3 linked regions of the Caenorhabditis elegans genome follow. The protein of the gene in region 1 interacts with the protein of each later gene in a pairwise test. Each region holds a gene or a part of one and is shown in the gene's direction. Other genes may lie near its edges.

What was found.
Region 2: the proteins of sma-3 (region 1) and mtch-1 interact in a two-hybrid assay, tested with the Caenorhabditis elegans proteins (one large-scale study listed by BioGRID).
Region 3: the proteins of sma-3 (region 1) and arf-6 interact in a two-hybrid assay, tested with the Caenorhabditis elegans proteins (one large-scale study listed by BioGRID).

The regions. Positions count from the first base shown.
Region 1 is NC_003281.10:6,854,157-6,865,485, reverse strand, and holds sma-3 (Dwarfin sma-3), read left to right. Parts: upstream 1-1,517; 5' UTR 1,518-1,522; coding exon 1,523-1,661; intron 1,662-2,119; coding exon 2,120-2,211; intron 2,212-2,337; coding exon 2,338-2,412; intron 2,413-2,461; coding exon 2,462-2,550; intron 2,551-2,608; coding exon 2,609-2,673; intron 2,674-2,790; coding exon 2,791-2,876; intron 2,877-2,923; coding exon 2,924-3,019; intron 3,020-3,063; coding exon 3,064-3,122; intron 3,123-3,444; coding exon 3,445-3,697; intron 3,698-3,759; coding exon 3,760-3,840; intron 3,841-3,932; coding exon 3,933-4,013; intron 4,014-4,329; coding exon 4,330-4,395; 3' UTR 4,396-4,512; downstream 4,513-11,329. Other genes in the region: clec-158 (C-type lectin domain-containing protein 158), read left to right, coding at 5,915-5,960, 6,007-6,098, 6,152-6,486, 6,531-6,693; Mitogen-activated protein kinase kinase kinase zak-1, read left to right, coding at 8,682-9,098, 9,429-9,613, 9,670-9,861, 10,106-10,199, 10,246-10,323, 10,412-10,592, 10,649-10,875, 10,935-11,156 and 1 more. UniProt on the Caenorhabditis elegans protein: Involved in TGF-beta pathway. Plays a role in male tail tip morphogenesis.
Region 2 is NC_003280.10:7,368,031-7,377,916, reverse strand, and holds mtch-1 (Mitochondrial carrier), read left to right. Parts: upstream 1-3,750; coding exon 3,751-3,800; intron 3,801-3,845; coding exon 3,846-4,021; intron 4,022-4,065; coding exon 4,066-4,172; intron 4,173-4,226; coding exon 4,227-4,389; intron 4,390-4,435; coding exon 4,436-4,789; intron 4,790-4,836; coding exon 4,837-5,015; 3' UTR 5,016-5,302; downstream 5,303-9,886. Other genes in the region: F43E2.1 (Poly(A) RNA polymerase mitochondrial-like central palm domain-containing protein), read right to left, coding at 730-811, 857-1,003, 1,053-1,169, 1,216-1,311, 1,358-1,505, 1,556-1,713, 1,763-1,858, 1,906-2,130 and 3 more; rpb-4 (RNA polymerase Rpb4/RPC9 core domain-containing protein), read right to left, coding at 2,842-3,090, 3,163-3,272, 3,336-3,411; F43E2.11 (Peptidylprolyl isomerase), read left to right, coding at 7,622-7,757, 7,801-7,907, 7,955-8,056; F43E2.6 (Ovule protein), read left to right, coding at 9,613-9,735.
Region 3 is NC_003282.8:16,941,348-16,952,770, forward strand, and holds arf-6 (ADP-ribosylation factor 6), read left to right. Parts: upstream 1-5,772; 5' UTR 5,773-5,780; coding exon 5,781-5,862; intron 5,863-5,929; coding exon 5,930-6,033; intron 6,034-6,123; coding exon 6,124-6,221; intron 6,222-6,304; coding exon 6,305-6,405; intron 6,406-6,625; coding exon 6,626-6,686; intron 6,687-8,032; coding exon 8,033-8,114; 3' UTR 8,115-8,387; downstream 8,388-11,423. Other genes in the region: Y116A8C.9 (Transmembrane protein 185B), read right to left, coding at 759-968, 1,668-1,763, 2,737-2,907, 3,486-3,683, 4,969-5,065, 5,127-5,225, 5,278-5,355, 5,407-5,453; rad-54.B (DNA repair and recombination protein RAD54-like), read left to right, coding at 8,720-8,762, 10,038-10,188, 11,154-11,382.

The DNA.
Region 1 (11,329 bases):
GTTTTTTGTTCATCTAGGCTCCTTATTTTTTAGGCTCCTTATTTATTAATTTGTTCTTTTTTTTTTCAAATTTGTAGTAGCTCCCCGAATTGTTTGTCCCCATCTCTAAACATAATCATTTGAGTTCATCATCGTTGGATCTCTACAGATCAATCTTTCGCCTTTTCTTTCTTCCCCCGATGACGTTTTTCTTCCTCCAAAATACCGATTTCAACTGTTTTTATTTCGCCCTCTCACTATGTTCATGTTTTTGAAAGAATAAATTGCTCTCTGACTTTTTTTTTTTTTCTTGCTAACTGTGTCCCCAACCATCCTTTGTCCCCTGTTCCCTCTTCATTCTATTTCAACGAGCGGTCACCGATGTGACCAATAAGCGCAAAGGCACTAAGAAATTGGGAAAATTGAGAGAGGGTTGCGCCATGAAGAGACGCAAAGATTAACACAAGGGCACATTTACCTTTATTCTACCTACATCTATCCCCCAACACAACGGACACTATTTTATATCGGTTGCAGGGCGTGGGGAAAGGTCACCACCAACACTGCCCCAGTCTGATGTGATTCCATCCGGGTTTCGCAAATACTTTTTCAATTTCACGTTATTCAACATTTTTATGATAGAAATTCATTTTGAGCAAATGACATAAACAACATGAGATCATAGTGACAATGTTTTCAAATCCATATATTTTTTCGAGATGATTAAAGGTGGAGTAGTGCCAGTGGGGAAAGTGTTAAAAACTATTCCTATGGTGCCAAAAAGACCGAATATCATAATTAAACCTTTCAAAATTTTTTTTGAAATTTTTTATTTTATGTCAAAGAGTGGCAACTATTATATGTGTATTTAAACAAAATTCCCACTGGCGCTACAGTACTCTGCCTTTAAATGGAGTATTGCCAGTGGGAATTTCTACTCGAAAAGTCCATGAACGAATATCATAATAAAAACTTCGATTAAAAAAAAAAGTTTTGAATAGTTTTAGTAAAGTGACAAATTTTCGTGAAATCTGGAATTTTTTGGACAATTCACTACAATGTTGAAATAGAAATATTCGAAAAATAATTAAAATGTAATATATATGGAAATCTTCTCTGATCAGAAAAGAAAATAACATTTTGGCATTCTTCCAAAATGTGAGAACTTGCCACGTTTTGTCTGGAACATCCCTCATCCCAACTCAAATTGTTCAATTAAAAAGAACGGTGTCATGTCATGAAAAAAGAATTTAAAAGTGCAAACAAAAGAACGATTCATTTTTGTTTTCTTTGTGTTCATCTTCATTTTCTCAGTCTCTCTTTACCTCCTCCGCCTTCCCTGTTATCACTTATCATCTCATCATTTCCTTTACTCAAACATTCACTTTTAGCCTTGTTTCTCTCTTTCTCTCATTCATTTTCCGCTCAGTTTACCCACTTTTTTTGTTTCTGTTACCTGTTACTATTTCTTATCGCGCAAAACAAAAATCGATAATAATTATTGAATTAGTTTTTTTGAAATGAGAGCAAAATTTCAGTCAAAATGAACGGATTACTGCATATGCATGGTCCAGCTGTCAAAAAGCTTTTAGGTTGGAAAATTGGAGAAGACGAAGAAAAATGGTGTGAGAAGGCTGTTGAGGCATTGGTGAAAAAATTAAAAAAGAAAAATAATGGATGTGGTTAGTCAAATATATTTTTTAAAGGAATTTATAATAATTTAGGGAGGGACATTTCTGAAAAAGGGTCTCGACGCGCTTATGAAAGTTTCAAAACTATTTTTGTGATTACCTTTAAATTTACAGTAGAAATATTTGAGCCTCCTTCCTCTTAGTCTAATTTTTCTTACGATTTCTTATGATTTTCATTTTTTTTAACTTGCAAAAAACTATAAAAACAGTAAGAAGAAAGCACCAAAAAACAAACTTAACATTTTCGAATGTATTCGAAAATACTATTGGCGCGGCGAGACCCATCCGAATGTTAAGCATATTGTTACGGATACAATATAATATTATGATTAACATTTTCCGATGACCCTTTTCGATTCATGAATCAAAGTGCACCTTATTTATAAGTTAGATCATAAATATTAAAAAAAAAGAAATTCAACCGATCCATTTCAAATTCTAAATTCCAGGAACCCTCGAAGATCTGGAATGTGTTCTAGCAAACCCATGTACAAACTCAAGATGCATTACGATAGCAAAAAGTTTAGACGGTCGGTTACAGGTATGTGGCGCCGTTGTGGTTGCTTAACGTAAATTTGTTCGCTAATCAGACAACTGTGATAACTTTCAAAAATAACACTTTGGTTTGAAATAACGACTTTTTGACGCCAAACTTCCGGCTTTTCAGGTATCCCATAAGAAAGGTCTTCCACATGTGATTTACTGTCGAGTATGGCGGTGGCCGGATATAAGTTCTCCTCATGTAAGTTAATTGGATATATTAATTTGAAATTTTTGAATGTTCATTTCAGGAATTACGTTCAATTGATACATGCTCCTACCCATATGAATCTAGTTCCAAAACCATGTACATCTGCATTAATCCATATCACTATCAGAGGTTTGTTCTGAAAGTTGTTTAAAATTGGAATACATTTCAAAAATGAATAAAATTCCAGATTATCACGACCACAAGGCTTAAATTCTTCAATGCCATCACCACAACCAATATCATCTCCAAACAGTAAGCGTTGGATCTAAAAATTGTTTAAACATATCAGAATCTTCTATTAAAAAAAAACAACTAAACTCTCTTTAAAATTCTCTAGGGAAATTAAATGAAAAATACATAAAATTGCAGCTATCTGGCAGTCTAGTGGAAGCTCAACGGCATCTTGTGCAAGCTCGCCGAGCCCGTCGGTTTTTTCAGAAGATGGAGGAGAAGTGGTTAGTTTTTTTGCAATACACATTTTTGCAAAAATTATAATTTTCAGCAAGTTCACCAGCGACCTCCACCGTTCCGTCATCCCAAATCCTGGGCCCAAATTACGTATTTTGAGTTGAATTCGAGAGTTGGAGAAGTTTTTAAAGTGAGGTTTTGATTTTTCAAAACAAAACAAAATTGGAGTTTCAGCTAGTGAATCTGAGCATTACAGTCGACGGATATACTAATCCATCAAATTCAAATACAAGGTAAGATTTTGAAAGACATTCGAAAGTAGAAATAAATTGATTTTAAAAGTGAAAAAACCAAAAAATAATTAGTTTTTTTCGATTTCGGTCGGACTTCTAAAAAATGTTCTTACAAAATATAAATATTATTAGTTTGATTTAAATTTCCTCCATTAATACGGTATAATACATATCTTCTCTATAATATTATCATAGTTATTAAAAAGTGGACACTTCGAGTTAATTAACGTGAAAATTGCTGATTCGAAGCTTTAACTTCGAGAAGTTCTGAATAATAATAATTCTTACCGGTTTCTTTATTAAAATAATCCGGAAATTTCAGAATATGTCTTGGACAATTAACCAATGTGAATCGAAATGGAACAATTGAGAACACACGGATGCATATTGGAAAAGGAATTCAGCTTGATAATAAAGAAGATCAAATGCATATTATGATTACAAATAACTCTGATATGCCAGTTTTTGTGCAATCCAAAAATACGAATCTCATGATGAACATGCCACTGGTCAAAGTCTGCCGAATACCACCGCACAGTCAATTATGCGTTTTTGAGTTTAATTTATTTTTTCAAGTGAGGTTTTTAAAATTTAAAATTATTTTCATGCTATTCTTCAACAATTGTCAAAAATTAAGATGTTGGAACAGTCGTGCAACGATAGCGATGGATTGAATGAACTCTCCAAACACTGTTTTATTCGTATTTCTTTTGTAAAGGTTTGTTCTAAATGTTTGAATTCCTTGTAGATTTATACTTGTTAAATTTATCGTGAGATTTTCAAATGAAACTTCGATAAACAAATTTTCAGGGCTGGGGAGAAGATTATCCACGTCAAGACGTCACATCCACGCCTTGCTGGCTTGAACTTCGGCTCAATGTGCCACTGGCTGTAAGTTTTTTTGAGAAGGAATCGTATCTGGAAATTTATCAAATTATCAAAAATATTCTATAAAATTTTTGTACATTTTGTAAATATCATCCAAAATTAAGCCATATTTCTATTTTGGGTACTTTTCCGATTTCTGCCCCCCCAATTTTTTAAGTTCAATATTTCAATTTCAATTCTCACGTGAATGTTTATTTCAATACTAAATAACAAAAAAGTTAACGTTTCATTAATGAATATATCGAAAACATTTTGGGGGCAGAAATCGGAAAAGTACCCTATTTTGTTTGAGTTTTCTGTGAAAATGAAATATTTTCAGTATATCGATCAAAAAATGAAGCAAACTCCAAGGACGAACTTGATGGAACCAAATTCAATGACATAATGATTTGTTAAAAACGCTTTCCTTCTCGCAACCACCTGAATTCAGAATTTACCTACTCTAATGATGATACTTGTAACATGTTTTACATTTGCTGGTTCTTTTTAATTATGAAGATTTCTTTTAATGTTGTCATGTTCTTCGAACATTTACTTAACGAAATTCTCAGAATGATTTCGCAGTTTTTTTCGGTCACGACAAAAACGCCCCCTAATTCTTGGGATTTTTAATTGTTTACTCTGAAAATATGCTCGAAAATTTTGAGCAAATGATTATTTATAACAAATCCAATACGTAAAATTAACTATTAGATCCATTCTGGGAAACGTCCACAGACAGCTCCATAGTTCCAGAGATCGGATGCACCTTCATTTTCTGGATGCTTTACATAGTTGCAGAAGACGTCATTGATCAGCTCACTGCGAGCAGGGAATTGAGAAATTGAGAGTTGAAGGCAAGATTCAATGCTTCTGGAAATCATATTTAAAAAAAAACAACTTGCAACTGTAACTAACTTTTCAAAGATGGTCTGTCCTGGTTCAGTTGCAGACCAGCTTTTCCACATGAAAGTATTATCAGTATGCTTCTCATCAGTAGTGAAACCAGATGATGAATTCCTGCATTCTACAGTAGCCAAAACGGTTTTATCTGTAGTCTCGCAGTTCTTCAAACGATGTCCATCGACAATCATTGATCCACGATCCAATTTCTTTGCAGTAAGGAAATCACGAAGAACAGTGGAAAGTTTGGTACGCTCATCAAAATTTTCAAATGATGTCAGGATTGATCCATCTTTCTCACAAACTTTTTTGGCTTGATTTGGAGAGATGAGAGTATCAGACAAAATTGCCTGAAAAACATTATAGAAAAGAGGCAAGGGGCAGCAATTGAAAAATGTTTTTAGATTTTTAGAGCTCATTCTGACCCTCTTTTCTTTTTGAAGAAGAACCCTAAATTGATTTTGAGCAAGATTGGTCTATCAGAAATCATTTCTTAAAAAATAAATAATTCGGAATATACCAGGAATTCAAAAAAAGTAGGATACCTTAACACGTCACATCCCAGTCATCGAGTTCTTGGGGGTTGGAGTTCTTTTGAATGACATATATCCATCTGGACATCTCATGTTGCAGTCAGCTGAAATAGTTTTTTCTCAGAAAAATATGTTTAAAGAAGTGGTCTTACCTGCTACGAGAGCTACAAAAAGAGCTGAAAGGATTAGTTTCTGCATGTTCAGAATACTAGAAAGTTATGAATTTTTTGAAGTTGCATATCAGTATTTATACTCTTCTCTGCAGTGCTCAATATAACAATTAAGTTTCTAAAATTATTTCTGCAAACTTATGGGTGAGAACTCAAAATGATACTTTACCAATCTTATGGAAAATACAGTGAACTTTGGGATATTTTCCAATTATTGATGGGAAACTTTAAAATTTGCATCTTCCTTTTCTCACCTGCAAAGGAGTATAAATAGTTCTCTAAATAGTCGTAAAATTCATACTTTCCTGGTATTCAGAGAATGCAGAAATTTATTCTTTCAGCGTTTGTTGTGGCTCTCGTTGCAGGTTAAGCTTGCTTAAAGACTTTCTTTCCTGAAAAGTATAATTTCAGCCGACTGTGCCCTGAAATGTCCAGATGGCTACTTTTCATTCAAAAGAGCTCCATCAGCCAAGAACTCGATGACTGGATTGTGGTGTGTCAAGGTAATACACTTGTTTACAATCTATCATTTTTATGTGCAACATTTTATTTTCAGGCAATTTTGTCTGACACTCTTATCTCACCAAATCAAGCCAAACAAGTTTGTGAAAAAGATGGATCAATCCTGACATCATTTGAGAATCTTGATGAGCGTACCAAACTTGCCACTGTTCTTCGTGATTTCCTTTCTGCCAAGAAATTGGATCGTGGAGGAATGATTGTTGATGGACATCGTTTGAAGAACTGCGAGACTGACGATAGAACTGTTTTGAATGCCGAACCATGCAGAAACTCATCCACTGGGTTTACTACTGATGAGAAGCACACTGATAATACATTCATGTGGAAGAGCTGGGCTGATACTGAACCAGGACAATCCATCTTTGAGAAGTTAGTTGCATTTAGAATGCCAATAGTTAATATATGACTTTCAGACAAATCGAATCTTGCCTCCAACTCGCAATTTCTCAATTCAAATCCCGCACTGAACTGATCAATGACGTCTTCTGTAACTATGTAAAGCATCCACAAAATGAAGGTGCTTACGATCTCTGGAACTATGGAGCTGTCTGTGGACGTTTGCCAGAATGGAACTAAATTTTAATTACACGGATTCATACCTTTTTGAAGTAAATATCTAATTTCTCGATTTTTTTAAAGAACTTGACTAATCTTAAAAACGTGATTGCTCGTAAATCAGCCACAACTTCGATCCTGCTTTGTCTTTACATTAGGAGGAATTCGGTGGCGTGAGGTTATTTTTTATAAATTAAAAGTGAAAAGATCAACAAACGTGTCTGCTATCAAATTGGAATCATGGAAATCATCCAATTGCGAGTTATCCAGTGCTACGTAGACCTCCTTATCCAGTGTTTCTTACACCTCCTTATCCAGCACTACTGACACCTCCTTCCCGTACCAATTTTGATGTCCTTCCTACCTTCACCTACAGACTAAGACGATGCCTAAAAATTAGACCCACTCTTGAACCATCCATTTCGGATATACTGATTCCGCCTGTTTACCAGCATCCTGACATTTCACTGTACCGGAGTTGCTGATTATGTGCCATACGTCCGACATCTGAGCATCTGGAACGTATAGGATGCTGCCACTCGCATCTTCTCGAGACTTGAGCGATTTGAGAGCTCAGCTCCATCTTCGGTAAATGTGAGCTTGTGCCGAGCCCACCATTTCGTGAAGGAAGTTCTTCTGGGGTTTCTTTCGGAACACGAAAATGTGCCCGTATATCCTCACGGATTCAGCTAATCCTCGACACATGGTCCCTCGGTGTTCACATCATCCAATTGCGAGTTATCCAGTGCTACGTAGACCTCCTTATCCAGTGTTTCTTACACCTCCTTATCCAGTACTACTGACAGTAATGATTGGTGTACTTACACGGAATTTCAACTGACAATACTCCACCTTCAAGTTCTGTGATCCTGCAAAAAGTTCAGTGTCAACTTCACCGCATAAAATTTGCATTTCAACTCTTTTTCTCCCAATATCAAACTATTTTCTCATCAAATAATCGGTTATCATTGTCTGTCTCTCCCTAACTTTAAAATACTTTCTCCTTCTCATGTCTCTCTCACTCTCCATCCCGACGGGAAGGTTTGATGATGCATGGGAAGGGGGTACTCTTTTCTTCGATTCGATTTGTTCTTGTTTTCTCTAAACTCTCTCATTCTGATTTACTATCTTGTTCATTTGAAAGTATGTCTAGGAACCACGAGGAAAACAAGAGGAAAACAAAGAACAAGGAGTATAAGTGCATGGTTTTTCTTTTTCTTCTTTGCTTTTTGCAGTCGAGCTGAATTTTTAATCGTTCTCCTCTGTCAATCGAGGCTGCCAATTGTTGACTTATTTGTTTCTCTAGGTCTCAAATGTCTACTCCCACACAATTATTCTAGTTTTGACCAATGCTTTTTACGAAATCTTTCACAATTAAACTGTATTCTATGACCTTTTTCTTGAAACATCAAAGATCAGTTTCAAAGTTTACAAATAGTTTTTTTGTGTAATTCAAGTTGGAAGATTATTGAGAAGATACTCAAATGTTTTAATTTGACAATATATAACACTATTTTTTTGCAATGTTTTGATACATATTTTTCACAAAAAAAAGATTTTCAAAAGATATAGTTCTGCAGATGCTCCAAAACTTTGCTTCAACTTAACATACTCCTATCGCCCATTTTTAATTTCATTTTTTTGCAAATTGTTTATTTAGAAGTTAGTCAGATCAGCAAAATTATCAGATTGAGAATAGAAATTAGATTATGAAATATACCAAAAAGGCGCCATTTTCCCGGAAACGTTGCTTTCGTTTCTTGCTTGACACTTTTTCTATGTATTTTACAAATTCAGCACCGATAGGCACCCCGGCACATTTAATTCACGTTAGGCTTTTTAGGCATGCAGGTATTTCTTGCCTGAAAGTTTTTCTACTTTTTCTGAAAATTTGTATCTCACTGAAGTAATTGAAAAATTCAGTCTGTAAAATATACGTTCTCTATGCCTTAAGAGATATCCGAAAAAAAAAAACAAACTGTTTCTCAGTTTTCAAAATTTTCCAGAAGATGTCAACTCCAACATCAAATGAATCGACATCCTCTTCATCAAACAATTCCGATCAACGTGTGCTCTTTCCAGATATTCAAAGAGATGATATTCAAGTTGGAGATCATATAGGAGTAGGCACATTTGGAGCCGTTTTCAGTGGAAATTGGACACTTCCAGATGGTAGTCAACGAACAATTGCACTGAAAAAAGTTTTTGTGTTGGAAAAAGAAGCAGAGATTTTATCGAAAATTCGACATAAGAATATAATTCAGTTTTATGGAATTTGTAAAGCAACTGGAAATGATTTTTTCATTGTGACAGAGTATGCTGAAAAAGGAAGTCTTTATGATTTTATACATTCGGAAGAATCTCAAAGTTTTGCCTCATCATCTGGTGGAAACTCATTTGATGTCGTTGTTAAGTGGGCGTCTCAGGTGGGAATATTTTTGTGAGTTTTTAATTCATAAATAGGAGAATTTCTAATAATAATAGTAATTTGAAAATGTAAAAATTGTAGGTTTCGTGGCTTACTACAAATAATTTTAAAAACCTTTTGTTTTGATTAGAGTTTGTTCAATTTGGAACATAGGATAAATAAAGTTATTAAATTTAGACAAAAAAGTAAATGTACATTTTAGCAATAGGCGTGAATCAAGTCGCCAAATGTTGATAAAACTTTTTGTAGGGCTAGTAGGGCTAGATTAAAATCAGTATTTTTTTAAAGAAAATACAAAAAATAAAACCTTCAACATTTAAATATTCAGATCGCAAGTGGTATTCAATATCTCCACTACGACGCAGTTGACACCATTATTCATAGAGATTTGAAATCGAAAAATGTCGTTCTTGATAAAAACCTTGTGTGTAAAATTTGCGATTTTGGAACTTCCAAGGATCTCACACATTCTTGCACAGCACCGTCGTGGGGTGGAACGGCCGCTTGGATGAGGTAAGTTTTCAAATTTTCACAACTACTAGAGATAGCAGAAAATATTAAAACTTTAGCCCCGAGATGATACTACAATCAGAAGGTCTAACTACTGCAACAGATGTTTGGAGTTATGGAGTTGTTCTTTGGGAAATTCTATCAAAAGAAGTACCGTATAAAGACTACTCAGAGTTTCGAATATTCACAATGATCACTCAATCTGGAATTACATTGGCAATACCCCCATCGTGTCCAGCTCCATTAAAACAGTGAGTTTAGTTTTTTTTTTTAAATATCAATTAAATTGAAGTTTTCTTTTAAGAATATAGGAAAAATCAACCATAAAACACTCTTATGCGTACTTTAATTGAGTAAATTGAATTTGAAACTCTAATGTTACCAGTAGAATATTCAAATTTCAATTTGCTGCGCAAATTATCATTGAACTTTGTGAAAGGTTTTGGCATTCTGATTATTCAAATAAACTTCTAAATTTATGATAATTTCTTTTAGATTAATGAGTAATTGTTGGAAGATGACACCGAAAGATCGAGCTAACATGCGCCAAATTCAAGGTGAACTCAACAGACTCGCTGGAAATCAAAAAGTCAGGGTTTCTAAGTTAAGCTTATCAAGTGTATAACTTAATTTAGGTAATGGACGAATGTGAAAAGTTTATGGGATTGGAAGATTGGAAAACTGAAATCGAGAAACAAGAAAAAAATGTTGAGGTATTTATGATCATCGAAAAAATTTATTCATTTTGAAATGTTTCAAAAATATATCATTGGATTTCGAACAGTTCCAATTTTTTTGTAGAAAATGAGAAAGGATCTCGAAAAAAGGCGTGAGCAACTAGAAATCCGCGAGAAAGCCCTTAAACAACGAATGAAAGTCGAGCAAGCAGTCTTGGATTCGGCACGTCATCCACCAGAGGATGTACATCAATGGAGTGAGCATCACACTTCTCATTGGGTTGAAACTGTTCTTGGCAGAGTTGGTAAGCAAACATTTATAGTTTAAAATCATAAATTCTATACTTTGGAAACTTTTCAGCAAACGATAAAAAGTTTTTGGACAGAGTGAATGCGGCGGTCTTCAGAAATCGGATAACTGGCGCTCGACTTTTGGGAATGACACAGAATGATTTAGAACATCTCGGCGTTCACAAAGTTGGATCTAGAATAGAATTAATGAAAATGATAAGAAAATTGGCGGATACTCAGAAGGCTTTGCATAATTTCCCAACTTTGGAGCAAGCAAAAAGGATTGAAATGACATTGGTGAGCCTGACTTTTTCAAAAAAAAAAAAACCAAAAAACTCGCAAACCTTTTGTTTCAGAAAACTGAAAAGGAAGCTGCTGGACAACTTGCCAATGATGTTGATATAGTGATTATAGTTGGGATGTACGTAAGAAAAATGAACGCAACACGACGAAAATTCAAATTCTACGCGGATTCGGATTGGATTGATGATACTGATATTCCAGCAAAATCAAAGTCAAAACATGCGTCATCACTTATCAAGACAGTTTGCTTTTCAGTTCTTGATGAAAACACAAAGGTTTCTAAAATATCAAATAAATAAAAAAAAGCAGTATTTTTCAGAAGCCAATCAATGAGCCAGCATGCTCAATATCTAGTGGAATGACAACAAATCCAGATTGGATTACTGTAGATACGGAGGATGATGTTAAGATTAGAGTTATCGTTAGTGTATACTACGCAGACATTGTG
Region 2 (9,886 bases), on another chromosome or scaffold:
CAACATTCCAGAACTGATAACTCTGCTTTTTATACTTCACTCTCAGTTTTCATAGATTCAGGTAACTTAACCGGTATACAGAGAAGAACAGTCGATCCCCAATTGCATAATTAATTTTTTTTGAAAAATTGTGTATGATAAATACACAATTTGTGATATTGTGTGCCAATATATATTAACAAGGAAAGCTTATTGAATATGTAAGTGTATATACTCCAAAACCATGAAGCATGCTTCATCCAAAAACTAAAACAAGTTGCAAATGGAGAGTTCGTTTTGGTTTTTACATCGCTGTATGATGTTTTTAGTTCGGAAAACATTGACGCAGAAATGGATAACACAAAAAAAATATTTATTACACAAAGAGAGAAAAGTAGTTATTGAAATATAAAGAACGAAAATAAAGAACGAAGAAAAAACGAGAGGCAGAGAAAAATGTCATGGCATATCGGGAAAAGGAACGGGTATGTGAAAAAAAAAACAAATGGTCAACATTCAGACCGGTATATATGAATTCTAAACAAAAACAAGTGAGTCGAAAAAAAATTTACAAATGATTTACACAACTCGAGTGTATTTTATTTTCCACTTCTATGAGTTTAAAGGGAGGCACATTAATATGAAATGATCTCGCATGAATGTGGCTTTCTTGAAACTCATAGAAGTGGAAAATAAAATACACAGTACAATGCACAATGTACACAAATTATTTACCCGAACGGCAAACTTTCAGAAGAATTGGGAAGATTGTTGAATCCCGAAGATCGGGTGTGGTTGTTGTTGTTGTTGTGAGTAGTAATACATCTCCGGTCTGAAAGTAAAACATTTGGGATAGTCTTCCTGAAACTTAACTAACGCTGTGAAGACGATTTGCTGCTGCATCATTTGTCCTTGCATCATTTGAATCTGATGATGCATTGCCACCTGTTCTAGCCATTGCTGATACTCGACAGACCCGACCAATGGCATATTGTATGGATCAGCACCAAACTGCATGTCATAGCTGAAAAAAAATCATTTTCAATACAATAATGAGTAAAATATCAACTCACTCCTGATAGAGAACTTGTGGAGGCGGTACTACTCTCTCATACGTTCTATTCCTTGTGATTTCCATGACAGTTTTGAACATTCCTTCATGGGGCTGCACCAACAAGCTTTTCAATGCTCTGAAATAGTTAGTTTTTTGAAATAATAAATTACAATTCAACTTACTCGAGAGTTTTCACAAGATCCAAAGCATTCCGCGCACTTCTTCCTGGATTTCGCACATCGTAGGCGTCGAGAATAGTGATCTGATAGTCTTGATCCCTGCAACAATTTTTTGTTATTTTGAGTTTGAAAAACGACGACTCACTTTTGAGATAGAGCTTCAATTTCACCATTTCGCATATTGAATCGATAATTCAGCAATACCACATGGTTGGAGTATTGACAAGCGAAAAGGTAGAGAAGCTGAACAACAGTGAGATCATTCGATGGTCTCTTTCTATGCATTGAAATAGCTGAAATAAATTAAATTCCAATTATTTCAATTGATCATTTTATCACGAACTGTTTTCATCAAGAGGAAATTTGAACTCGTGACGTAGTTCCGCCAAGTCCGACAATTTGAAATTGCCGCGATGAAAAAGATCACTGTGGGTCTGGTGAAGATTCGGTAGAATATCATACCATTGCAAAACATGAATGAGCAGAAGAATAATCGAGTATCTGAAAGAAATGGTGACTTTGCTCTGACTTTTTGCAGGTTAGAAATTACGAGTTGGGGTAAATTCGCAAATGATCTTCAGCTCTCCCTTCTGATTTCATCCATTTTTTCAAAAACATCACGAGAATTTTGAAGCGATCATCGAGTCTGAATAAATTAGTTCAATAAGTGTTATTTCCAGAAATTAATCTTACTGGCAGTAAGCATTGATATACTTTGCGGCGAGACTTGTTCGAGGATTATCATCGAATGTTGCACTCAAATCAACTGGCACATCGTTGATTTTGAATCGGATGATCGGAACCTTTGCCGTTTGCACAAACGAAATTCCGCTGACGACATTCTCTCCAAAAATGTTCTGCCCTTCCTTACTGTACATCATGTCTCGAAAAATGGCTTGAAGAATGATTACCGGCAGTCTGCAAAAGTTATTATAAATCGTCAAAAGTAAGGCTGCAAAACGACTTACTGTTTTTTATTTCCTGTTGCCGTCGCACACACACACAGATCAAGATCGCTGTCTTTCGAGGCACAGTGCGTCGGGAAACTTCCAAAAACGCTAAGTCCACGCAATTTGATTCCTTGCGAAGCGAGTTGTTTGGTAACTCCTTCGGATTTCAGGTATTTTCGAACCAACGCCACATAAAGCTTTCGTTCCTCCAACATTGATTGGCTCTGAAAATTTGGATTCAAATTATAAACATGCGAAATCTCTACAATTGGTAAAAATTAACCAGTTTCCCATCCTACCTGTCTTTGATTCATATAAAATATATTTATATCTTGTTCGAGCTGCTTGAGAGAAGGATGATCGCCTTGCAACTGAAAAATTCTAGTACATTAACAAATAATGTGAAAAATAAACTCACAATGCTCTTAAGGCCTTTGAGAAAATCTGGAGACGGTCTGCTCAATTTCTGCACCATCTGGTTCAATAGTGTGATTTTTTCAACAAAAAAAAACAATATGAAACCAGTATTCATTTTCGATTGAACAAATTATTTGAAAAACATTAATAAACATTTCCAAAATTTCATTTCATTGTATCAAATAACACATTATGAGAGATCTCATAGGACAATTACAGTAACTTGAGAATACAGATAAATATGGGATTAGTTTGCTTGTATTTATTGGAATGTTCTTTTGGATTGCAGATCCTTGAGAACTTCCTCTAGTTCAGACTCCTCGATTTTGTTTTCCAAAGAAGGAACTAGTGCTTTGGCTTCTTCGGCATTTTCAGGGCAGAGATTGGCAATCTGCGCAACTTCGAATTTGTGAAGATGCTTCTCGGAGAAAATCGCTCGAACTGCACGGATAGTTTCGCGATTTTTGAATCGAGACATGCGGCGAGCGTAGTTGAGAGTTTTGATGAAGACCTGAATTCGTTTAATATAAAAATGATATTATAAATCAATAAATTTAATCGACTGAAATAGTTTTGAGACTACCTCGCTCATCTCTTCAATTTCGTCTTTGCTTTCACTCGATTGACGACGATGCTCCAGAAGCAAGTAAACCTCAGCGGTCAGAAGAGCGTCGCATGTTGTTGTTTCGAATTCTGAAAATATACCGATTAGGAAAAATCACCAAATTCAAAAACTCAGTAAAAACAAAACAATACCTTTCGGAAATTTGCATTCAGCGGCATCTTCCTCGACTTGTCCATCTGACTTTTGATTTCCTCCACCGGAAGACATTTTCTAAAAATATTTTTTAGATCAGTGACAGTGAGATTTAAGTGAAAAACAATAAAACTGACGGAAATTTATTCAACTATCAGAAAATTGTTTTTAAGACAAAAAATTCTGCAATTCTTACACAGAAAGAGGAGTGAGATAACGTGCGCACACATTGCGTTTCAGTCTCCGCCCACTTTTTTGTGCGGCGAATGTTTATTGTTTATCCGCTCATTTTTTTTATCTTCGATTTTTCTCATTTAATGTCTGATTGCTATTTTTTATGAATATAACTATAGTTAACCCAAAATATTAGTTTGTATTTTCATTTGTTATTAAATTAATTATTTTCAGTGAATCATGGCTGAAGGAAATCAACAAGACGCTTTCCTTGGGCTTGCTCCAGAAGATGAGAGTTTAGTCTTATTGAAATAGATTTGAAATTCAGTTTTACAGGAGAAATTCGCCAAGAGTCTTATTGCCAAGCTCGCTTTGAGCTCGTTGTCGCTTCCTTTGACCGTGACACGTACCCTTATCCAGCTTGGTCATGAACCGTTCCCATTGTCTACAGGAAAGACTCTCGTCATTGCAGGAAGAAATGCGTATTTCCTTCCTAACTTCTTCAGCTATAGTAGGATTCACGAAAATAATCTTCGGTAATGATCATAAATTTAGTGAAGCAATTGGGAACTACTCGTGGATATATCACCCTTTGGACTGGAATCGACTCTGCTATCGCTGCTTTGGCTGTTCAGGGTATTGCTTCTCACCGCACTCAGCAGGTAAACAGTTTTCTCATTGAAAGTTCCTGAAAACCGTAAAAAATTATCTTACAGTACATCGACGAGTACTACCCCAATATTGGAGGACCTCTTTTAAATCAAGATAAAGAAGAGGATGAACTCACCGATGCTGAATCATTCCGAAGAGTTATTCGTAACGGATTCCGCGATTCTGTCATTCGTGTTGTTGCTGTTACTGCTGCACGACCATTTGCTGGTAAGTTAAATTATTTGCGATTAAACTGTATAATAATCTCTTCCAGTCTGCTTTGCTCGTCAAGTTGCTCAAGTTATTGGCAATGAAACTAAATACACTACCTGCGCCCAGGCTCTGGCCGTCATCGGAAAGCAGGAAGGTCCAGGAGGACTTTTCAGCGGACTTGCTCCTCAGATCGTTGGAGAGCTTCTCGTCATTTGGGGAGTTCATCTAATTACTCACGGAATTCAAAGAGCTATTCTCCGCATTGAATTTGGAGACACAAAGAATAAGGACGAAACGAAAGCCAAGGCTGCCAAGGATGTTCACAAGTTCATCCATACTGCTGTTCCATTCCTCGTCAACTCCTTCGGCTACCCATACAGTGTTGTATCCACTGTTATGGCTGTTGCTGGATCAGGTAAGCATGCGAATAACAGTATCTTTTAAAATAAAAGATTATTTCAGGACTAGCCGTTTCGTTCCTCCCATATTCACCATCCTTCAACAACTGGCATGGAGCATGGGACTACCTTCGCCCAATTGGTCTCAAGCGTGGAAACCGCCTGTTCCTTCGTGAACAAGTGGGAGCTGTCACTGTCGGCGTGGATCAACAACTTTACGCTAGCAACTCTTACTTTGCATAAGATTTTCGTCCCCAACTTCATCCAATCTTCGCTATAATGTATTTTTCGAGTTTTGCTAATCCCTTTTCATATACCAATCATCGGTTGTTTTAGACTCAAATCTCATAGAACTAAAATGTTCCTTTAATCCAAACCCGTACTTTAGATTTTCGATTTAAATTTCAACATGTGTCCCGTAATTTATTAGCTTTAGCGTTATCCTATGATGAAGTTAAATCTACAATTTAAAATTTTATAGTTTTTTTTTGTAAACAAACTACACTCAAAATAAAAAAAACTGCGTGGCGTGTACTGCAGAAAACCTCATATTTAGGCCCCGCCTTTTTCTCGTCCACTCACGGAGAAAAGGCAACAATATGGGGGCCAACCGAAAACATCAAGAGAACCCGTGATGGCAAAACGGGGTGATATCTCAACTCCTGTGAAGAGAGCCAACAACCCAACCGCAGTCGCCAGGGTACCCGATGATCCATCCAATCGGCCATGATAGTAGAATTCGACAACAACTTGTCTATATTGCACCGGGAAGCCCATAGCAACTGCTTCGAAACGAGCGACTTGATACGCTAAATGCGACTTCCGTTCTATTTCTGGACCCATTTCACCTTGACTATGAACTTCGAACGAGTGTTCGTTGGAAATCTCATATCGGCATTCTGAAAAATATATGATCTTGTATCATCATTTTACTAGATATGAAGCGCTGTTTTATGTTTCTACATAGTAGATCTTTGGCAAGAAGAATCCCACTGGCCATGTCCATTTTGAGACATAATCACAAACTGGAGGAAAATTCAAATTTTCTAAGTAAAAATGCTCTGGAAACTTCTCGAAAATTCAAAGGAGTTCTAGAATGTGCTAGAACTTTCTTGTTCTCAATTTCGCAACTGCAACATTGTGTTTTGTAATACGATAACACAGGGGTTTTGGAGATATGAAGCTTTGAAAACTCACTGATAGTAAATATGTCGCCTCTTTTCCCCTTCTTTGGTTTCTTCTTTTTGGCTACGTCTTGAAAGCAAAGTCCGATCACGTGAGCTTACTTTGAAATTTTTTGATGTTTTGAAATTGGGATGGGCATGAAGTTGTACATTTTGTGATCAGAAACAGTCTTAGCTTGAGCCAAATTTTTGCCTTTTCGTCCGTGAGTGGACGAGAAAAAGGCGGGGCCTAAATATGAGGTTTTCTGCAGTACACGCCACGCTGTTTTTTTATTTTGAGTGTAATCTTTTTCAAATTTTGTTTTCAGATAAGGCAACTGATTAGCTAGTGGGGTGAGGATGTAAAATCAAAATCTTCTTCGCTGTCTAAAAGTGACTCTTCTCCAATTGGCTTGCAATGGACTGCTTCTTTCTTTTCTTCCGAGACACTCATTTTTTCTATTCGTTTCTGTCGGTAACGTGTTGTTGAAAGTGGGACGAGAGACGAAAAGACGGAAATAGAAACAAGGCAAGCCTCCACGCCTTCACAAGAAGAGCTTTCGATCCGATTGACTCCTTTCTCCGTCTCCACGCTTGTCGTTCTACTTTCTACATCTCACCTTCACTTTTGTTCTGGCTACGTTTCTCAAGAGACTCCATAATAATGCACAATCACATTTTCACCTAACTAATCTTCCACATTTATATGCCTGCTCACATTGATTGTTTCCTGAAGCAAGGATCCACTGGGTTCTTTGTTGCTCATTTCATGTGCGCTGGGTTTATAAATCAGCAGCAAGCTGAAATTATCATTCGAGTGCCTGAAAGGCCTGTTGCTGCAGCTGCAACAATGCAAGTTCTTGATGATATAACAGCTGAACTAGCGAATCTAGATCATCTTCGTCAACGTTCCATCCGTGAAATTTTCATGAAATACAAAATACGTTGCGAAAACAAGAAAACATGGAATTAGATAAAGCTGCTGAAGTCATAGTAAATTATCCAGATCCAAGAGCACACTATATTTTCAAAGTTCAAAAATAACTTAGGTTTCCATTTCACTTTTTTCTGGAAATATCCTTTATTAACCAGACACGAGGTTTTAGGGTTTTTGAGCCAACCCCGGTCTTGACACGACAGATTTTTGTACAATACGAACAGGCGTGCGCCTTTAATGAGTACTGTAGGTTCAAACTTTCGGAAATTTCATTAATTTTTCATAGTTTTTCGATGAATTGTTTTTTAGCTAATCGAATAAACAAAAATACATACTTTTAACTAACACAAACCGTAATAAAAACTGAAAAATAATTGAAAATTCCGCTAAAAAAAACTTGAAAAAAATGTGCTACCATAAACCTTTTTCCCGCGGTGAGACCTTTTTAGAATAAATCCATGCGCCTGTAGGAAGAGCTTTCAGAATACTGAAATTAATTCAAATATTATACGATATTGGTGAGACTGATGCACGTTAATTCCAAAATTTTATCGAATTTTTGTATGTCGTCACGACTCGTCAGTTTCCGAGAATTTTGAGTTTTGTTAAGAACTTATTTAGGTGTCAAATCAGTCATCAATTTTATTCATTCAGCTCTGAAGCGTCAAAAATAATACTTACAACTTATCATGATGAAAACTTTAATTCCATTCACCAATTCAGAGTCTGAATTTCAGACTTTAGTTGCAATGACATCAGTACATCCGATTACTGTAGTTCGTGAACTTATACAGTTTGGATACGAGCCTTTCCCAACAACTTGTGGCCGGAAATATATATTTTTTGGAGAAGAAATGGCAATTCTTCCGAACATCTTAAGTTACAGTAAGAAAAGTCTGATCCCCTTATCTTATTACCTTTGTTTCAGTGAAACAACTCTCCAAGGCAAAAAAGTTTTCAACTCTATTTAAAGGTCTTGATTCTGCCATCTGTGTGCATATTATAGGTGGAACAGTTGATGGATACATGTGGAAGGTTAGTGGGAATATGTAGTTAATAGTTGACGACAGAATTTGTTTCAGTTTTTTGGACAAGTTATGGGCGATATAAACACAGATGTACGAAAGAAGCAGACATTATGCACTTCACTAAAATTCACATTACGGTCAGGGTTGGGCGGCTAACTGTTTTTTCGGCTAACAGCTAATTCGGCGAATTTGGAAAAAAAGTAGGTTAACGGTTAAAAATCCGCCAGCTTTAGCAGTTTCAGCTGGTTTTTCACTAGTTTCGTGGAAACTTTGGTTAATAGCTCCCCGGCTCTTAACTTTTGAATTTGGTGCCCAAAGCTATCCGTTCAACATGTCAGTGTGTAGAGACCTTTTTTATCTATCAAACAAGCCTAATTATTCACTTGCAGCTTGCTTCTGTCTTGAGATGAGAGTGATTTTCGAGTTTTTTCGGCTTTTTCAAAGTTAAACTTTGGTTAATAGTTCCAGCTCAATCACCGAGATACCCCTATATGCTGAAGTCTATTGGAGCTTCAAACAAAGCATTTTTGCGTTCCAATCTTTCCATTTGGAACCGGTCGTTAAAGCTGCTGCCAGAGAAACTAAACCGATCAGTCTTTGCTTCCCATTTAAATGTTATTCCCATTTGTAAACTTATTCCCCCAACTTGCTCCCCCAAACTATACTATGGTTTATAGGATCAGTTTAGGATCTCCTACCCGTTGATCATTTTGTGATACCATTTAATTTTCTTTTGACGAGAATAACAACACAATTTTTCACACAAATTGGGAAAAATATTATTAGGATAGAATGTAATTGTTTTCGAAACATATTTCCTTCTCATGAGTGTCATGGCGAGTCGAACGTCTGACATTTCAAAATTCGTTTATTAACTTCCTCCAACGATCCACCACAGAGGCGCGAGATTCGCAACTATATTAATTGTACTACAAGACGCATTCTCTTATTAAAAACATCTCGAAATGTGTATTAAGACTTCTCCTTCCGGAAGGAGAAGCTAGAAAGGACCTGAGAAAGCAACGTATCTGTTGTGAGCGTGCCAACCACAATTTTTTCTAAAACAAGAAAACTAACGTGTTCTCCTGGACGTGGAAAACCTTATCAAGATTACCATTATTGTCTGTCAGAATTGATATTTCAATCATTTCGAAAGAAACTGACACTAATCAAACATTGACAACTTGCATTTTACTAACAAAGTGAGTTTACATACAAACGAGAGCTTACAAGCAGGGGAGAGCGGCGATCGAAAAAAAATCGGCGATCGGCGATCGCCGATCGCCGACACGTTTTTTTTTGTCGCCGATCGCCGATAATAATTTTTAACGCGGCGATCGGCGATTGCCGTTAATATTTTTGTCTTCGGCGATCGGCGACCGGAAAATCTGAAAAAATCGGCGATCGCCGCTCGGCGATTTTCTTGCACTTTAGATTTTTACAAAAGAAAATGCACTGTTCAAGTGTTAAATGTTCATTATGAGGTTATATAAGTGCATTTTGCAACTTATTAATTATGAAAAGAATACAAATTCTTGTTTTTCTTCAAAAGAAAAATTGCCGTCTAATGAACTCGGCGATCGGCGATCGCCGACCCTTTTCGTCCTGTCGGCGATCGGCGATCGCCGATGGCCGCTCACCCCTGCTTACAAGAAATCGCCGCGCGGGAAGATTTCATTACACAGTTTAAATTATGTTCTTTTCAGGGAAATATGGGCAAGACCAAAGCGGAGATTCAAAAAGAGGAACGAGACAACCGATACAACCGAAGACACGCTGAAAGAGAAAGCGCTCAGGCAGAGCAAGAAAATGTGAGTAATCACGATATTAATCAAGTAAGGTCTATAGATTTATAAAATCTGAAGAATAAAAAGTTTTGAAAAAAGTAGTTTTCATATGTGCGAAGAGATATCATAAATAAGGGAATAACCTACGAGTGGGAAAATTATATTTTTGTAATTATTTCAAAAATGCCTGCAGGGCCGT
Region 3 (11,423 bases), on another chromosome or scaffold:
TCAGAATTTTAGCGATTTAATTTCTCTATTAAGAAAATCGATTTGAATTGATAAAATGCGAAAAATCGCGAAATAAAAGTGCGGCACGGAAAAATGGGCGTGGCTTAGTGACAAAAATGGGCGTGGCTTAGTGTGGCTCAAAATAGTGTTAAATTTCGGGATTTGCATTAAAAATTATTAAAAACTGCAAATTTTGACATATTTCCGACATTTACTGGTCGAAAATTTGAATTTCCGCGCTGTCAGCTCTAAGCCACGCCCATTTTTCCGTGCCGCACTTTTTTTCAGCGCAAATTCAGAGTTTTATCGATTTTTCTATAATTTTCCATGAGAAAAATGAAATTCTCTCAGAAATAAAATCAGCAATTTCGCAACAAAAAAAAGTGCGGCACGGAAAAATGGGCGTGGCTTAGACTCCAAAACGCACTGAAATTCGAATGTTCTGTTTTTTCTGGATTTTTCAGGAATTCTTATTGACTTTTTCGATTTGTGTGAGCTTGTTAGTACTCCAACGGGCTGAAAATCGATAAAAAATGTGCGGCACGGAAAAATGGGTGGGGTTAAGGGGGAAACACGCGGAAATTCAAATTTTCGACTGAAATTGGCAGTTTTTCTTCGAATTTTCAATTTTTTTCAGTTTTTCTCATGGAATTTGTCGGTTTTTGGGGTTTTTGAGTACTCCAAAGGTTGAAATTTTGCGTTTTTCATCGAATTTTCTAGTTTTTTTGTGGTTTTTTCGATAAAAAAACGGTGAAAACCTCATTATCAGCTCGATTAGTTCCACCAATTCGATAGCTAACATTAGCATATGTTCTCAGAGATGGACATTTTTCCAATAAAAATGGGCAAAGGGGTTTCCTTAATCCAAACCACCAAATATTGGTTTGTGGTGTTGAAGAGGGGCCTCCAAAGCCTGCTGACATGATTGCCATGAAGAAAAATGATACTTGAAGTGGAGCCATTGCGAGCTGCAAATTCATAAGATGATGGCCGTGAAAAAACTAGGCCAAACAATTGGTCTCTGTAAAAATTTAAAAATTCTGTGGTTTTTTCGCTTTTAAACTTGAAAAAACCGCTCCAAAACACCGATTTTCAATGCTAAATCACTGGAAAATCTTTAATCCAAAACCAAGAAGTGGGCGGAGTCGAAAATTTCCCATAGATTCGTTTCTCCGGAACCAGCATCTCCATTTAGGCTCCGCCCACTTATTGGTTCTGATTTCCACAGTTTTTTGAATTTCTCTCTCCAAAATAATTAATCCAAAACCAAGAAGTGGGCGGACCCGAAAATTTCCCATAGATTTGGTTCTTCGGAACCAGCAATTTCAGCTAAGCTCCGCCCACTTATAGGTTACGTTTTCTACAATTTTAAATTAAAAAACTTTAAAGCCATGAAATGGGCGGAGCCAATATGTGTGAAAAAAAAATTCCATAGATTTGGTTCTCCGGAACCAGAATCTCCATTTAGGCTCCGCCCACTTCTTGGTTCCAATTCCCATGATTTTTTCGAATTTTTTTATTAAAATCTTGGATTTCAGACGATTTCTGCTGTAATTTTGACACAAAAATGCCGATTTTCCGAGTTTTTCGGGAAAATTTTTTCCGGAGAATCAGATTTTCCGATTTTCCAGCTAACAAATCGCAACTCGTGTTCGCGGAGTTCTTACCGTATAGCTCAATTCTGATACTGATCCTTTATCCGGCCAATTCATCGAATCAAGCTTTCCAGTAAGCAGTACAAGGCATACCAGCGCTGGAATTACCTGAAAAATTGGAATTTTTGAGTGAAAGCGGGGAACCAGGACGTGGGCGGAGCCTAAACTGAAAAGGTGGCTACCGGAGAAGCGAGTCTATGGGAATTTTTCACTCAAAACTGGCTTTTTTAATTGTTAAATGTGAAATAGTAGAAAAAAAGAACCAAGAAGTGACGCGGAGCCTATGTTGGGATCGTAGTTATCGGAGAAGAGAATCTATGGGAATTTTTCACTCAAAACTGGCTTTTTTAATTGTTAAATGTGAAATAGTAGAAAAAAAGAACCAAGAAGTGAGCGGAGCCTATATTGTTGGGATCGCAGTTATCGGAGAAGCGAATCTATGGGAATTTTTCACTCAAAACTGGCTTTTTTAATTGTTAAATGTGAAATAGTAGAAAAAAAGAACCAAGAAGTGAGCGGAGCCTATATTGTTGGGATCGCAGTTATCGGAGAAGCGAATCTATGGGAATTTTTCACTCAAAACTGGCTTTTTTAATTGTTAAATGTGAAATAGTAGAAAAAAAGAACCAAGAAGTGAGCGGAGCCTATATTGTTGGGATCGTAGTTATCGGAGAAGCGAATCTATGGGAATTTTTCACTCAAAACTGGCTTTTTTAATTGTTAAATGTGAAATAGTAGAAAAAAAGAACCAAGAAGTGAGCGGAGCCTATATTGTTGGGATCGCAGTTATCGGAGAAGCGAATCTATGGGAATTTTTCACTCAAAACTGGCTTTTTTAATTGTTAAACGTGAAATAGTAGAAAAAAAAAGAACCAAGAAGTGAGCGGAGCCTATTTTGGGATCGTAGTTATCGGAGAAGCGAATCTATGGGAATTTTTCACTCAAAACTGGCTTTTTTAATTGTTAAACGTGAAATAGTAGAAAAAAAAAGAACCAAGAAGTGAGCGGAGCCTATGTTGGGATCGTAGTTATCGGAGAAGCGAATCTATGGCAATTTTTAGCTGAAATTAGCTCAACTCACGAAAAACGTGTGTAAAATCGCAGAATAAACGTGTTGGCGACGGTGAGCCGGAATGAAATGACGAGATCTGATGAGCACAACGGAGAGCACAAGAGCGTAGAGAACACCGACAGCGGCAAGGGAAAGGACCACCCATAGAGGTATGAATACGACTGCCCATGTCCAATCGACCTGCAAAAATTTGGGAAATGTTGATTATTTTAGGTAATTTTGGGGTTTTTGTGATTTTTTTTTAATAGAAAAAAATGGATTTTTTTTAGGCCAAGAAGTAGGCGGAGCTAATATGTGTGATAAATTCCCATAGATTCGCTTCTCCGGAATTATCATCTCCATTTAGGCTCCGCCCACTTCTTTATTCCGTTTTCTACAGTTTTAAATGAAAATATCCGCAAGCTAAGAAGTGGGCGGAGCCAATATTAGTGAAAAATTCTCATAGATTCACTTCTCCTAAACCGGAATCCCCATTTAGTCCCCGCCCACTTCTTGGATCCGTTTCTACAGTTTTAAATTAAAATTCCCAACAGCCAAGAACTGGGCGGTGCCAATATGAGTGAACATTTCCCATAGATTCGTTTCTCCGGAACCAGAATCTCCTGTTGGGCTCCGTACACTTTTTGGTTTTGCTGTGATTTTAACCAAAAAAGTGGATTTTTGGAGGTTTTTAAGCGAATTTTTTGGGTTTTCTAGTGATTTTTGTACTAAAAATTCAAAATTTTCACTGGAAAAGTCATTTTTCCTCGATTTTTTACCTGTTTATCCAGCTTGAAAGCGATAAAAACCAGCTGAACAATATTAATTGCGTAGAAAAATTCAAATTCGAATGGTTTATCATGCCGGAGGGACCATATAGCTATTCCAATTGATAATATTGATAAAGAGAATAATGGACAGAATACAATTGTCCATGGAAGTGGATATCCTGGTTCGAAGAGATAATCGAATTCTAGCTGGAAAACAAAATACGGGTTTTGGAGGGAAAAATGAACGGAAAATTTGGATTTTTGGCATTTTTTGGGGTAAAAAAGACTAAAAAACTAGATTTTTGGGCTAAAATACACCAAAAATCTAGATTTTTCTAGTTTTTTGGGTTAAAATACATAAAAATCTGGATTTTTAGCTGTTTTTAGAGTAAAAAAGACAACAAACTGGATTTTTTGCAGTTATTAGGGTAAAATGACCTGAAAATTTGAATTTTTGGCATTTTTTGGGGTAAAAAAGACTAAAAAACTAGATTTTTGGGCTAAAATACACCAAAAATCTAGATTTTTCTAGTTTTTTGGGTTAAAATACATAAAAATCTGGATTTTTAGCTGTTTTTAGAGTAAAAAAGACAACAAACTGGATTTTTTGCAGTTACTAGGGTAAAATGACCTGAGAATTTGGATTTTTGGCATTTTTTGGGGTAAAACAGACTAAAAAACCAGATTTTTGGGCTAAAATACACCAAAAATCTAGATTTTTAGCTGTTTTTAGAGTAAAAAAGACAACAAACTGGATTTTTTGCTGTTATTAGGGTAAAATTACCTGAAAATTTGGATTTTTGGGATTTTTTGGGGTAAAAAAGACTAAAAAACTAGATTTTTTTTGGGCTAAAATACATAAAAATCTGGATTTTTACGATTTTTTTAAAGTAAAAAAGTCCAAAAATTTTGATTTTTTCCATTTTTTAAGGTTAAAATATCGAAAAAAATAGATTTTTTTTTGTTTTTTGGGTAAAAACACCTCAAAATCTGGATTTTTTGAATATTTTAAAATAGAAAACCTTTTTTTATCGATTTTTTCAATAAAAAATTGGGCAAATTTGTGATTTTAAAGTTGAAAAATTGATTTTTCTTCATTTTTTTCATTTTTTCAGTGAAAAAGGAATGAATTTATGAATTTTCGAGTCAAAAACTGTAGAAAAATCGATTTTTCAGCTACTTTATTGAGCTTTGCTCTAAAAAATGAAGATTTTTCACTTTTTTTTCAAGCAAAATGGTCAGAAAATGTAGTTTTTTGGCTTGAAAAGGGTTATTTTTACACATTTTTGACCCATTTTATCGATTATTAAGGTCAAAACAAGCAATTTTGACAAAAAATCAAGAAAAAAACGCAATTTTTTCGGCTTTTTCTTGATTTTTGTCCAAAAAATTCGGTTTTTTCGCTGAAAAACTCGCTTTTCCACGTAGAAACTCGATTTTTGGCCATTTTTCTTCATTTTTATCTATTTAAATCCGCTTTTCCATCGTTTACCTTAATAAAAACCAGCGAAACAAATGTACAAAGAAAAATGTGCTCGGTAGCAGTGATTAGCATAGCCGAAAAGTCGACACGCATCACAATTTCGTTTCTGAAATGTCAAATTTCTTTATTTTTTCCACATTTTTCCAGCTTTTTCCAGCTTTTCCCACCTCGACGGTGGTTTTGAGCAAAAAGAGCAAATTCCGACGATGGCTCCGACGAAAACTAGGAGATTACAGGCCCATAGCGGCGCAAAAACGAATGCGTAGCTGGAAAAATCGATTTTTTCGGGAAATTTCTGATATTTTGAGGATTTCCAACCTAAATGAGACTTTTCCATCGAGTTTTAACGTGAATAATGCCGTGAAAATTAGCAGACAAGCGCAGAGAATTACTTTTCTGGAAAAAATTCAGGGTTTCTAGGTGAATTAGCTCGAAAAATAGACTTACGATGCGTTAAACGATCGGAAAAAGACTCCCAGACTTAATTCCACCATTTTTTGTTCAATTTTTAGCAATTTTTCATGATTTTTTCACTGAAAATCTGAAAAAATTGAATAAATCAATAATAAATTCGATTTATTCCACGAAAAATAAAACACGAAAACAATAAATCCCGTGCGCACCACTTGCAAATAGCACGCGCGCCGCTTGCAAAACTGGGCGGAGCCACGCGGAAATTGATTTTTTCTTCCTTTTTCCGCCGTTTTAAAGCGAATTTTCGCGAAAAATGACTCATTTTTGTTGATTTTTCAAGTTTTTTACTCAAAAATCGCACTAATTTCGGTATTTTTTGCCTAAAAATCACATTTTTAGATCGAAAAATGGGTAAATTCCTGTCGAAAATCTTTGGCAAAAAGGAGCTCCGGATATTAATGCTCGGACTCGATGCGGCGGGTAAAACCAGTGAGTTTTTGGCGGAAATTTCGATTTTTACGGCTAGAAATATGGAAAAAATCGATTTTTTTTCCAGCAATTCTGTACAAACTGAAGCTCGGGCAATCAGTGACCACAATTCCGACGGTGGGCTTCAATGTGGAGACTGTCACGTATAAAAATATCAAATTCAACGTTTGGGTGAGTTTTCCGCCCCAAAAACCCTGGATTTTGGCCTAAAAACCCCAGATTTTGGCCTAAAAACCCCCAAAAACCCCAATTTTTCTTCAGGACGTCGGCGGACAGGACAAAATTCGACCCCTCTGGCGACATTATTACACAGGAACTCAGGCGCTCATTTTTGTGATGGACGCCGCTGATAGAGACAGGTTTTTAGGCGAAAAATGCGGAAAAATTGGTTTTTTTCCTGGACAAAATCGATTTTTTCAACGGAAAAATTCGGAATTTTCAGAGTCGACGAGGCGCGAATGGAGCTTCACCGAATAATTAATGATCGGGAAATGAAGGAGGCGATTATTTTGGTTTTTGCCAATAAACAGGATCTTGCCGATGGTTTGTGGCTTTTTTGGCGGAAAATTTGAGCGAAATGAGCGATGCTACACCTAAAACTCGGAAAAAATCGATTTTCAGCTCAAAAATGAGCGATTTTACCCCGAAAAACTCGGAAAAAATCGATTTTTAACCTAAAAACTCGAATTTTCAGCTTTTTTTGCTTAAAAATGCCCGATTTTACTGAAAAAATGGATTTACTCACTAAAAATGCAATTTTCAGCGATGAAACCACACGAAATTCAGGATAAATTGGGATTGACGAGGATTCGAGACAGGAATTGGTAAGAAACATCAAAAACTCGAGGAAAAACTGATTTTTCTGCAAAAATACATCAAAAAACACCCATTTTCTCTCGGAAAATGGGTAGAAAATGCAGATTTTGGTGTAAAAATCAAATTTTTCCGATTATTTCTCACTAAAAATCTCGTTTTTATGCAAAAAATACAATTTTTTTAAATTTTCTCGGAGAAAAAGCATAAAATAGCGATTTTCGCTTAAAATTCCCTCAGTTTCTTCTAAAAAACCTCCAGAAACGAAATTTTTCTTCTTTTTTTTTAACGGAAAACTCTAAAAATTCGCCTTTTTTTCGGTTTTTTCACCAAATAATTCAGATTTTAAGGCATTTTCATCAGTTTTCGCACTAAAAATCCAATTTTCCACCTGACAACGCTCAAAATTAGAAAATTTATCGTTTTAGAGCCATTTTCCATCAAAAAATGCAGTTTTTCAGCATTTTTTCAGTAAAAATTCAATTTTTTCATCAAAGTGCTTGAAAATCGAAAATTTTCCGTTTTTAACCGATTTTCTAACAAAAATTCATATTTTCAACATTTTTTTTTCATTAAAAATTCAATTTTTCCCTTAAAAAACGCCCAAAACTCGTTTTGCCGGCTTTTCCCGTTTTTTCACAAAAAAAAAACCATTTTTCCATTACAAAGTGCTTGAAATTCGAAAATTCTCCGATTTTCGACCAAAAATTCCAGATTTTCAGCTATTTTAAGCCAATTTTTACTCAAAAACTCATATTTTCCACCTGAAAACGCTCAAAATTCAAAAAAAGTTCCTTTTTTTAACCGATTTTCTACAAAAAAAAAGCAGTTTTTCAACAATTTTTCACTAAAAACCCATTTTTCCTTTAAAAAAAATGTTCCAAACTCGAAAATTGTCGGTTTTTGGCCAATTTTCCCAAAAAAAATCGAATTTTTGCAGATTTTCAGCTATTTTCATCCGTTTTTCACGGAAAATCCAATTTTCTCATCAAAAAGTGCTTGAAATTCGAAAATTTCCGTTTTTACACCGATTGTGCACCTAAAATTCCGGATTTTACGGCATTTTCATCAGTTTTTGCACTAAAAAACCCATATTTTCCACCTGAAAACGCTCAAAATTCGAAAAATGTCGATTTTAAACCGATTTTCACCTAAAATTCCGGATTTTCAGCAATTTTTCCACTAAAAAAACCCATTTTTCCTTAAAAAAAAACGCTCCAAACTCGAAAATTGTCGGTTTTAGGCCAATTTTTCACCGAAAAAATTGATTTTTTTCAGATTTTCAATCAAAAACCTTCATTTTTCACCTAAAAATCCACGGATTTTCACCCATAATTTCCAATTAATTTCTTTGCAGGTACGTCCAACCATCATGTGCTTCAACCGGAGACGGCCTACACGAAGGCCTGACGTGGCTAAGCCAGAATTGCAAGCCGTAAAACACATTATCTGAAGAATTTGGAATAAAAAATTCGCGTCTTGCCAAATATTAACAGTATTTTTTTCACTTTTTATCTGCAATTTTTTCTGTTTTAAATTTTTTTTTAATTCAAAAAAAAAAAAATTTTTTTTTCAAAAAATTTTCAATCCCTTAAATTTTAACATTGTGTGTGCCATGCTTATTCCTATTTTCCCTCTCTTTAATTCACAGAAAATACTCGAAAAAAATGCTCAAAATGCTCCCCAAAAAAATAAATTTCCAAAATTTCCCCCCCCCCCCCCCCCCTAGGTGCCCAATTTTCACTTATTTCCCCACTGTTTTTCCCGAGTTCCCCCCCCCCCCCCGAAAAAAAACACTAAAATCACTGCTTTTCTCCCCAATTTTTGCTCCATGACCGAGGTTTTTCTCGGCCGCGGCGACCTCCAATTTTCTCCAAATATATTCGCTGCCATTATCTGTGATTTTATCGTTTTTTATGGAGAAAAATATATTTAAAAAATCGATTTTTTGGCCAATTTTATAGTTGATTTTCTTTAGGACGAAATATTTTTTGCTGCCAGATTTTCAGATTTTTAGGCCAAAAATTTAAATTTAATATTTCAGATGTCCCGAGTGGTTCTCAACGTGGATAGTTATGAGGGAAATGGTAGGCGCCTACGCCTATAGGCTGAAAATTTCTGAAAAATTGGCATTTTTGGCTGAAAAATTCGAAAAAAAAACGACCAAAAATGGTTGGAATCTGAAATCCACCATTAAAGGGGCGGAGCTTAGCCGGACAATTTTTTAGGGAACGCATATCGCCGGGAATCGAATCTATGTACAATTTCTACAAAAAGCCAATAAATGGGCGGAGCAATGCCACGCCCATTTTCCCGGGGCTCGCAACGAATTTGTTTCCGTAGATCGTGTTCTTCCAAAAAAAAAATCTTCCAGAAATTGAAGCCCCGCCCACAAAATGGCAGGTTCACGATCTACCAAGAAATGGGCGTGCCCTACTAAGCTCCTCCCACTTTCGCTGCAAAAATCGTGATATCCGAATATTTTTCGGAAAAAATCCCGAAATTGACGCTCCGCCCACAAAATGGTCGGTCCGTGATCTACCAAGAAATGAGCGTGTTCAGACATGCTCCGCCCATTTAAGGGGCGTGGTGTATTACGTCCCACCCACTTTCCCGGGACTCGCAACGAATTTATGCCCGTAGATCGTGTTCTTCAAAATAAAATCTTCCAGAAATTGACGCCCCGCCCACAAATTGGTCGGTCCATGATCTACCAGGAACGGGCGTGGCTTATTATGTCTCGCCCACTTTCGCTGCGAAGATCGTGATCCCCGAATATTTTTCGGGAAAACAATTCAGAAAGTTAAGCCCCGCCCACAAAATGGGCCGCCCATGGTCTACCAAGGAGTGGGCGTGCCTTGTTAAGCCCCGCGCAATTTAGGGGCGTGGCGTATTACGCCCCGCCCACTTTTCGGGTCTCGCGACGAAATTGTGACCGCAGATCGTGTTTTTCGAAAAAAAATCTTCCTGGAATTTAAGCCCCGCCCAAAAAAGGGCCGCCCGCGATCTACCAAAAATCCATTTTTTTCAATTTTTTTCAAAAATGGACAAAAATTCGGCAGATCGGAATCTACCGCCCATTTTTCGGGTCTCACAGAGAAAATATATCTCGGAGCCCATCTTTTTCATATTTTTTCAAAAATGGACAAAAATTCGGCAGATCGGAATCTACCAAGAAATGGGCGTGGCTAGGTTTGCCCCGCCCACTTTTGGGTCTTGCGACGAAAATGCGTAAGGCTTTAAGATTACGGGACACATTTTCGTCGCAAGACCCAAAAAATGGGCGGAGCTGAACGAAATATTTATGCTCCGCCTCTTTTGTGGTCGAAAATTTTATTTTTCGAAAATTCCCAAAATTCCAGACACCCCGAGCGCCGAAATCGCCCGTTTTGTCGTTCTCTATGGAAAAGCTTCGACTCGAAAACACAAAATTTGGGAAGGAGACGGTCTTCTCGTGTGTTTCACAGATTCGTGTCTCCTGAAGTCGGAAGATGAGCGTGACGTCATTTGCAGGTTGGTGCCTGGCTTCGTGAAAATTGGAGAAAAAATCGATTTTTTAGTTGAAAAATGTGAAAAATAGGCATTTTTGCCCCTAAAACTATGAAAACTTTGAATTTTTTACTAGAAAATTGGCGAAAATTTGATTTTTCATCTCAAAAAATGGGAAAATTTTGAATTTTTACCGAAAAATTGGCAAAAAAACTATTTTTTATCCTAAAAAATGTGAAAAATTCGATTTTTTTACCGGAAAATTCGAAAAAAAATTGTTTTAAACCTCAAAAAATGTAAAAATTTGAAGTTTTACCCCGAAAACATTAAAAAAAACAATTTTTAGTTGAAAAATGTGAAAAATAGACATTTTGTACCCAAAAAGTGTGAAAAAATCGATTTTTTTACCGGAAAAATTGGCAAAAAATTATTTTTCACTTGAAAAAATCAGAAAAATAAGCTTTTTCTACCTCAAAAAATGTGAAAAATCGAGTTTTTACCTGAAAAATCGAAAAAAAAAATTTTTATCTCAAAAACTGAAAAATTAGATTTTTTACCGATAAATTGGCGAAAGTTTGATTTTTTTTATCTCAAAAGATGAGAAAAATTCAAATTTTTACTTGAAAAATCGAAAAAGAAGTTAATTTTACCTCAAAAAATGTGCAAATTTTGAATTTTTACCTGCAAAATCGGATAAATAAGCATTTTTTAACCCGAAAACTGTGAAAATTTGGAGTTTTTACCGCAAAATTGCCGAAAATTTGGTTTTTTTTACCCCTAAAACTGAAAAATTGGCGAAATTTTGAATTTTTACGTCAAAAACTGTGCAAAAATCGAATTTTTACCGTAAAATAAAAAAATAAAAATTTTACCTCAAAAACTGTGAAAATTTTTACCTATCAAATCGAAAAAAAAAACCATTTTTACCCCTAAAACTCTAAAAAATTCAAAATTTCCACAAAACACTTGAAAATTATCGATTTTTCCAGATCCTCAGCGCTAAAAGGCCTGGACCAGCTTGAAGACGGCCGAATCATCAATATCGGATCCTGGAGCGTCGAGATTCAGGAGAGAATTGCTACTGGGCCTCCCCAGAAGCCCATTTCGGCCCAAAAGCCCGAAATCCAGAGCCCAATGCCTCCAATGACGCCTGGAAACTCGGAAAACGTGGAAAATCGCAAGCGCGGCGGCTTTTCAAGCCCGTTTTTAGGCATTGAGGTGTGGACACGCCCAGAAAACCGTGCCCCCCTAGCAAGCTG